2 linked regions of the Coturnix japonica genome follow. The main gene of each other region encodes a partner of the protein of the gene in region 2 in a complex. Links are inferred from orthologs where the notes say so. Each region holds a gene or a part of one and is shown on either strand. Other genes may lie near its edges.

Region 1 (4,271 bases), on a different chromosome or scaffold from region 2:
GCAGGTCTTCATGATGAGATCCACTGAAAGCAAAACCAGGATCACTGAGAAATCCGACTGACACAGAAAGCAGCTTAAAACTTTAACTTGTTCAATACTCTCTAGGATAGCATCAGGTTCAGTGAGACAGTTTAATTCCCCCCCAGAGTGGTAATTTTACCAGGCTTAATAACCAAACAGCATTTGAACAGTATCACGACAATGGTTAGACCCAAAATAGGAATAAAGCATTCACCTCCTATCCGCTCTGTGTCGTAATAAACATACTTCACTGTCAGTGGTGTGAACATCACGCCCATAGTTTTACCAGGGACTCCCATTGGGGCACTAGGAAAAACACATAAATTCAGCATGGACACATCTGAAAGGAAATAATTTTCCATCTCAATGATCTTTATTAGCACTACAGTGTGAACACGAATAGGTTACTCACTGTCAGTAAAATCAGCAATATTAATACCATGTATAACCAAGGACAGGAAATCAATACAGGTATATTATTAACTGCAAATTTTCATCCAAAAATATTCCTAGCTGGTCTGACATTTATCAGTACAAGCGCATGATGAGTTCAGTACTGTCTTCTTGGTGAAGCTGACATGTCTGAGGGATAAAATGCCATTTGAAGAGACCTAGGCAGACTCAAGCAGTGTGCCCAGGTAAACCTCATGAGGTTTGATAAATCCAAGTGCACCTGGGTCGTGATAACCCCTGCTATCAGTATAACCTGGGGGATGTAAGGATGGAGCACAGCCCTGCCAAAAAGGACCTGGGGGAACTCATGGATGTTAAGCTGGACACAAGCCAGCAACATGCTTTGCAGCCCAGAGAGCCAACTGTATCCTGAAACGTGGCCAGCGGGGAGTGGGATGTGATCTTGCCCCTCTGCTCTGGTGAGGCCTCACCTGGAGTACTGCATCCAGATGCAGAGTCCTCAGCACAGGAGAAACATGGACCTATTAGAGTGCATCCAGAGGAGGGCCACAAATAGGATCCCAGGGATGAAACAACTCTGCTACGTGGACAGGCTGAGAGCTGGGGCTGTGTAGCCTGGAGAATGGTGTGAGGTGACCTGAGTGTGTCCTTTCAATATCTAAAGGGGAAGCTATATGAAGGAAGGGGGGCAGACTCTTCAGCAGAGTCTGTTGTGATAGGACAAGGGGAAATGGTTTCAAACTAAAAGAGGGGAGATTTACATTGGACAAAAAGAGAACATTTTTAAAATAGGGGTGGTGAGGCACTGGCACAGGTTGCCCAGACATGTGGTGGATGCCCCATTCCCGTAGGCATTCGAGGCTGGATAGGGCTCTAAGCAACACTATCAAGCTGTAGGTGCCATCCTGATACAATATCTGTTAGTAATTCAGACAGTTCCTGTCCCCATGTACCTGACATAGGCTTTAATGCTCATGCGTGAGTTCTGGAGACTTGTGTCCACAGTGAGGTGGATTGGATTGTGTGCTTCCCGGCTGTAGTACTCGTGGATCAGGACAGAATGTTCTGTGATGTCGTGACCTGTTGCGTACCTTGGAAAAAGCAAATGTTGAAAGACCACTCTTCTAATGTTCAAATGCCCAGTATTTGTTGGTATTTAACAGGTCTGTATTCTAAAACCCTGATGTCCAAGCACTGAGTTGCAGACACATAGTAAAGACTAGTATTATAACTAGGTCATGTGTAGTTTTATGGCTCTCCTAGAATTATAGGCTGAGTGCACACATGCCCAAAACATGCACAGGGTCAGTGTTGTATTACCATCAAAAAGAGTCAGTTTTTTGTCACTATGCTCTGGGCCAAATCTTTATTTCCTTATAAATCAAAGCATGCCAAGCAAATTTGGACCAGCAAAGTAAATCTTAAACAAATTAAACACCCCTGTGCAGGAGGCAGGGCTTGTTCATCTCGCTCCTTCAATTGCTCCGCAATTAACTTCTTGCATGCACAGGAAAGCGACTGCCATGAGAACTGCACCTTGCTGTGCCATGATGGGTTGTTGAGGAAGCCAAGAGTTCTGCGCTTGTAGGATTTTGTTCCATAGAAAGGGGCCAGAGAGGATGTCAATAGACAAACGAGGCCAGTTATCCGTGCACAAACGAGTTCTTTTCCTGTAACACCCCATCACAGGTATTTCCACCTTTACTCAGAGAACACCCTTGTGTTCAGGCTAACATCACCGTTTCCCACCAGCCCTTTGGTACTTTTGTGTTCTCCCTCCAGCTAGTTACCTTACAGACTGTATCACTGCATTCTAATAGATCCATGAGCATTCCCAACCCTCCTGTCTGTGACAGCTCTTCTAGACTAACCAAAAACGCTCTAAGTCTGCGACAGCATCCTTTCCTATCCTGAGTGATGGCACGACTTCACTGCTGCTTCTGCTTTCCAGCCTCTGACAGCAATGACAGATCTGAGGTATCTGAGGGACCTGCACAACTGCCCGCACTTCCCTGTGGCCATAGAACTCACCAGCCCAGGATGATCTCACTGGGAGACACCTTTTTGTGCAGCTCGTACATGTTTTTGGCAAACTCCATATCAACAGCCACCTGGGGAAGGGGACAGAGCCGAGTCAGCGGGTGCAGGAGCCCCGATGGCACATCCCCCATAGCCCCCACACCGTACCTCATCCTCGGACTCGTTGTGCGGGACGGAGAAGCAGTTGGTGACCTCCACCGAGTGCTTGTCCACGGTGCCTGCGGGACGACAGCGGTTAGTGGGGCGGTATTGGTCTTAGTGGGGCGGTATCAGTGGGGCGGTATCAGTGGGGCGGTATCAGTGGGGGCTGCGGCATTGCGGCTCTTACCCAGCAGGGTCCCGATGACCCGCGCCGCGCCCTCGTTGCGCCGCTCGAAGCTGTCCACGATGGAGGCCAGCACCACCGGGTGCAGCCGCACCACGCGGCCGCCGGGGAAAGGACCCGAGAGCGCGGCGGACAGCGGGGCGGAGGGCGGCGGTGCCGCCGGGGCTGAGGGCGGAGGGGGCGCGGCCGCCGTGGGTGTAGTGGGAGCAGCCGTGGGGCTGGGAGCCGGGGCGGCAGCGGGAGGGACCGGAGCCACAGCGGGAGCAGGAGCCGCCATTTTGCGAAGAGAAAGGGGAGAGACCTCGGCCACGACAATTGGCTGATCGGAACGCCTGTCACATACGCCACTTCCGTGAGCATCCGCCCCCTCATGGGCTGGCGCAGCGCTGAGCTCCTGTCTGCCAAAGGCAGAGCTGTGCTACCTGTGTGACGTGGTGTAGGAGCCTGCTTTGGCAGGGGGTTGGACTCGATGATCTCTAGAGGTCCCTTCCAACCCCTACAATTCTGTGATTCTCTGGTGTGATTTCTTTTTACAGCCCTTACACGTCACTGAGCCATTACTTTTGCATGTGCTGTTATGTCGGCTGCATCTTCACAGCTGATATATAATTTCTATATCAGTAGCTATCGTCTCATCTTGCTTGTGCAATGGGAATAAACATAATTTCTTGTTGAGAGGCGAAAAACCCCTTAGAGTACATTAAAAATATTGCATTGAATTACAGGTAAAATAAAATATGCATTTCATGTAGATAAGCATAATTAGGAAAAAGAATAGCAAGACTGATTTTCTGAATCTGTTGGTATCAAAGAATGGAAGTCTCTTTTCCTGCTTGGAACATCAGGTCTGTGTCTCCAGCTCTCACTGTGTTCATGGAACTCCCTCTCTGCCATTTCTCATGGTCATATTGCCAATGCTTTGGCTGGCTGTTGGTTATCTGTGTTTTTCAGGACTGTATGGTAAGTGTTGAGTCACGGCCTGAACCACTGATTGAACAGCTGGGGAAAGGACTGGTCAGCCCTGGGAGCACAGGTGAAGGCAATTCAGCTGTGTGCCTGGAGGGGATGCAGCCTGCCTGCACCTCTCTTAGACCTTATTTAAGGGCTGACTGCTGCTAGTAAAGGGTTTTTTCCTGGAGATCTCTCCTTAGTGAAGCTTTATGCTGCAAACCTAGAATTTTCTGATACAGGTGAGCAATCTTCTCTTACTTTATAGCACCTTTCTACTGTGTTGGTCCTTTTATCATTGCATCTCTTTTGTAATGCTTTTTCTATCATACTGGTCCATCCAATTGCTACTAGGATTTCTCTGGGGCTTTAGTATGAAGTAGTGATGGTCAGTGGCTTCTGGGTTTTAAATTAAAACTAAGTGGTAGTTTCCTTATTCAGCCTCAATGGAGTGTTTTGGATACTCCTCTGCTTCCTGTTCACTTGTGGTTGCTAGTAGATGAACGGCTATTGTTGGCAGCCT
Region 2 (4,239 bases):
CAACTTCTTAAGCAGGATAATGTTAGTGTATGGACATTTCTCTTATGGTTAAATACATCATTAGGTGAAGGCTCAGGCCTACAAGTTCTGCTAGCTTAAAACAGCCAGTTCCAGCCAATTTAAATTCACTAGCTCTACCCCCTTACAAGTCAGTTTCACTTCCTTTTCAGCTTCCTTGCACAAACTACTGCCTAAGCAGTTACCAGAAGGGAGCACACAACATTAAAACAACAAATAGATGCAGAATACAACGTGCCAAATGTTTTAAGCGTAACTTACTTTTACCACCAATATCCTCTCCCAAAATCCTTCCAGTCACCAGCGTGACTATCAGAGCCAGGGAGTTACAGAGCGGCACTGCCAGGGACAGCTCTGAAATTGAACAATTGTAACACGGTTTGAAATGGATGCGTCCTTCATTCAAAGACATCTACTTGAATCCCCCTGTGGCACAAGTGGTAGAAGTGCCGCTCTGCTACACAGGAGGCTCGAATCCCGGGGGTTGGACTCGATGATCTCTAAGGTCCCTTCCAACCCACACCAGACTGTGATACTATGATGATGATACTTGATGTTCAGCCAGATCACCAAATGAATCAGTAATACAGCTCCTCCCCAAACCCTGATCAACCCACTGGACAAAGCAGTGAGAGCTGACCTGCAGATGCCAAGGTGAGGTAGAAGAGGAGCGATCCACATTGGTTCAGCAGGAATGGCACCATGTACTGCGGAAAGAAGACAGGTCACTGCATGGAAAAGCATTGCAATGCCTGCAGCAAGCAGTGCAAGCCTTGGATGCCATGTCTGCAGAAGGCAGGCAGGTCTGAATGTGAAATATGAGGGTTAATTTCTACAAGTGTCTAAGTTCTCCATAAGAAGAGCAGGACTGCAGGTGGGTAGATGAAATGTTATAGAGTACAAATCATTTTGCTGATAGATGGGAGGTGCTGAGTGCAGGAAGGAGCATGAAGGCCCGTCCCATACACCCCATGATTCCGGCTGTGCTCACCTTGTAGTTGCAGCCCAGGAACCTGATCTCGGCCAGCAGCTGCCGTAGGAGCCCCCGGCGCTGCACGTCCAACAGCCCCGCCGCTCCCGTCCGTAGGAACGGCCCGGTGCTGCCCCATAGAACCGACACCAGCACCAGCACGGCGGCCTGCCCTGCAGCACAACATCAGCTCAGCCCCGGGGCTGTTGGCCCGGCCGCCATCAGCCCGCAGCCCCCTCACACAGCCCACCCCGTCCCCTCAGCCCCTCCGGGATCCACCCGAGGCCCGTCCCCCAAACCCGGAAGCTCACCGGCGGCCGCCATAGCGCCCCGTGACCCGGACGTGATACTCCACGCCTCTTCTCTCTCGCTCCGGTTCCGGCAGCGCCGTGTCCGCCATGGTGAGTCGGGTTGTGGGCCGGGCCGGGCTGATGCGGGTCCCGGCTGGGTCCTGGGGTCGGCGGGGCTCCTGGGCTGATGGTGGTGGCAGCCTGAGCCCCAGCCGGGGCCTCGGCCTCGCTTGGCATAGCGTTAAATGGCGCCTTCCCTCATTGCCGCGTGCAGAAGCCGATCCTGCTGCAGGGCCACGAGCGATCCATCACACAGATCAAGTACAACCGAGAGGGAGACCTGCTGTTCACTGTGGCCAAGGATCCCGTGAGTGAACCGGGGGCACCGGGAAACCGGGCTGTGTGCGATGGGGGGGGAGGGATAAAGGTGGGTAATTAACGAGCTCAGGTAATTGGTCAGAGCGGCTCTTCAAGCCTTTTTATCTTCTTTTAGATCGTCAACGTTTGGTACTCGGTGAATGGAGAACGGCTGGGCACCTACAATGGGCACACAGGAGCCGTGTGGTGTGTGGATGCTGACTGTATCCTTTGGGTGCACAACCAGTTTGTGCTCTCGTTCCTTGCAGTGATTCAGCACGGATGGCTCCATTCAGCTGCTGTGTTTAATTGTCCCTTGTGCCATCTCTTGGTTATTTGTGCTCCTTGGGAAGTTTCCCAAGTCCTGTAATTTCTCAATGTAACGCAGCTTCTTAATCTTGTGTGTAAATACTCCCTGGGTATCTAATGATTTTTGGGGCTGCAAACGTGCTGATATCCCTTAACTGCTGACCAAGGGGACACCCGACATGTGCTCACTGGCTCTGCAGATAACAGCTGTCGGCTCTGGGACTGTGAAACAGGTAAAGGCTCTTCTCTCCCACGTGGCTGGATCTGACTCAGCTCTGTCCTGTTCTGGGATCTGTGCAACATGTGCCTGTTTGCCCCTGAAAGAGCCCAAGTCCTTTCTTGGCTGTTTGTGTATTTGCCTTATTTTCAATGGGCACTTATTCATTTTGCTCACCAAGCACATTTAGTGCTTTCCAGTCACCCAACCTGTCTGTCAGCTCTGATGCTCCTGTTCTTTCTATGACTGCACTTCTGTTTGATTGCTTTCATTAATGTTTGCAATGCAAGACCAAGTGAAGTGATGGTTTCTGCTCCGTGTTCAGGAAAGCAGCTCGCTCTGGTGAAGACCAGCTCGGCAGTGAGGACGTGTGGCTTTGACTTTGGAGGAAACATCATCATGTTTTCCACGGACAAGCAGATGGGTTATCAGTGTTTTGTGAGCTTCTTTGACCTGCGTGACCCCAGCCAAATCGGTGAGGAATCCGGGCCTGTGCCTGCAACTGGGAATAAGGGGAAGCGTTGGCTGCCAAGAGCTGGTGCCACTCAGTCTGTGTGTCTCCATCCTTCCTTCCTGCAGAGAACAACGAGCCTTACATGAAAATCCCCTGCAGCGACTCTAAAATCACTAGTGCTGTGTGGGGCCCTTTGGGAGAATTCATCATCGCAGGACACGAGAGTGGGGAGCTGAACCAGTTCAGTGCCAAGGTCAGTGTGATAAGGAGGAGCATCACCCTCAGGCAGCAACTCTTGGGAGAGGATGTTGCAACGTTCCTGTTGTGATCATGTGGCAGAATGTGGGTTTTTTTGGCTCAAACCAGTGGCCTTGAGGAAGGATAGTTAAAGTATGTGGCTTTCTTCAGCAAAGCTGAACATATATATGCCTACCTTTCTGCTGACAGCAACATCTAAAGTCGGTTTTAGCAGAGAAGTTGTTTGTACACTTTCCTTGCCAGTTCACTTAAACTGCCTCGTTTACCCTTCAGTCAGGGGAGCAGCTTTCAAACATCAAGGAGCACACCAAGCAAATCAATGATATTCAGACCTCCAGGGACATGACCATGTTCATCACTGCCTCCAAGGATAACACTGCCAAGGTGAGGCCTCCTGGGGGGACTGCGGTGCATTGCTGACATCCGCTTGCAGGACCCCTGCTCAAAGTCATGGCTGCCTCAGTGGTTTTCTCTTTGGGAATTTGAGCAGGTGTAGAGCCAAAGCTTAGTGGGAGGGCTGATATTTGGGATTCTGGAGCAATAGCTTTGACATTTGGATGCCCAGGAGTGACTTTAGAAGTAACACCTGCTCATGTGAGGACTGGCAGCTGGGGTTTGCATGAGATACTTGGACTGCCACTCTCTTCCTTTTGCATTTTAGCTATTTGACTGCACAACGCTGGAACATCTGAAGACATTCCGGACAGAGCGACCGGTGAACTCTGCTGCACTCTCCCCCATTTTTGATCACGTAAGCATGAGCCCACGCATACTAACGGTCTTAGTGCAGCTCCTGCATTGTCTCAGGCAGCTGGAAGGCACAGTGTCACCAGTTCAGCCTGAGCTAAAGAATCACTGTGGGACAGGGCCAGGGGACTTGACTGCTGTCATGGGCTGTGCTGGGTTAGTGGGAGGCTTCCCCAAGGCTGGGCTCCCTCCTACCCTGGCTGTTGTTCCACATATGGTGTAAGCAGCACTGCAGTGTTGTGACTTTCTTCCTATGCAGGTTGTGCTCGGTGGTGGGCAGGAGGCCATGGATGTGACCACGACCTCCACCAGGATTGGCAAATTTGAGGCAAGGTTGGTGCTCTTCTCTGGCAGGGCTGAGTCTGCACTTGGAGTTCTCTCCTGCTCCCAGAGCGTCTTGCTATTGGCAGCATTTGGAGAGTTACTAGAATTGCAGAGCTTCTCTGAGGAAACCCTGATGACATCCCTAACCTGCCTCTTTCTTCTCCCAGATTCTTCCACTTGGCTTTTGAAGAAGAGTTTGGCAGAGTGAAGGGTCATTTTGGTCCGATAAATAGTGTTGCTTTTCACCCTGATGGGAAGAGGTGAGAATCTCTGGGGGTCTCCAGCACGTCCCCAC

Evidence for each region.
Region 1: EIF3I (region 2) and EIF3F share a complex: the UniProt entries of both Homo sapiens proteins name them as parts of the eukaryotic translation initiation factor 3 (eIF-3) complex. The link is inferred for Coturnix japonica from reciprocal best matches to the Homo sapiens genes EIF3I and EIF3F.

Annotation. Positions count from the first base shown.
Region 1 is NC_029521.1:13,754,600-13,758,870, forward strand, and holds the start of EIF3F (eukaryotic translation initiation factor 3 subunit F), read right to left. Parts: upstream 3,100-4,271; 5' UTR 3,078-3,099; coding exon 2,804-3,077; intron 2,694-2,803; coding exon 2,623-2,693; intron 2,547-2,622; coding exon 2,467-2,546; intron 1,527-2,466; coding exon 1,389-1,526; intron 328-1,388; coding exon 236-327; intron 24-235; coding exon 1-23. UniProt on the Homo sapiens protein: Component of the eukaryotic translation initiation factor 3 (eIF-3) complex, which is required for several steps in the initiation of protein synthesis.
Region 2 is NC_029538.1:4,527,687-4,531,925, reverse strand, and holds the start of EIF3I (eukaryotic translation initiation factor 3 subunit I), read left to right. Parts: upstream 1-1,271; 5' UTR 1,272-1,299; coding exon of another isoform or gene 1,300-1,312; 5' UTR 1,313-1,386; coding exon 1,387-1,389; exon of another isoform or gene 1,390-1,393; intron 1,394-1,552; coding exon 1,553-1,645; intron 1,646-1,771; coding exon 1,772-1,859; intron 1,860-2,111; coding exon 2,112-2,177; intron 2,178-2,486; coding exon 2,487-2,636; intron 2,637-2,740; coding exon 2,741-2,868; intron 2,869-3,146; coding exon 3,147-3,257; intron 3,258-3,534; coding exon 3,535-3,624; intron 3,625-3,879; coding exon 3,880-3,953; intron 3,954-4,111; coding exon 4,112-4,204; intron 4,205-4,239. Other genes in the region: TMEM234 (transmembrane protein 234), read right to left, coding at 280-372, 659-725, 1,010-1,161, 1,300-1,312. UniProt on the Homo sapiens protein: Component of the eukaryotic translation initiation factor 3 (eIF-3) complex, which is required for several steps in the initiation of protein synthesis.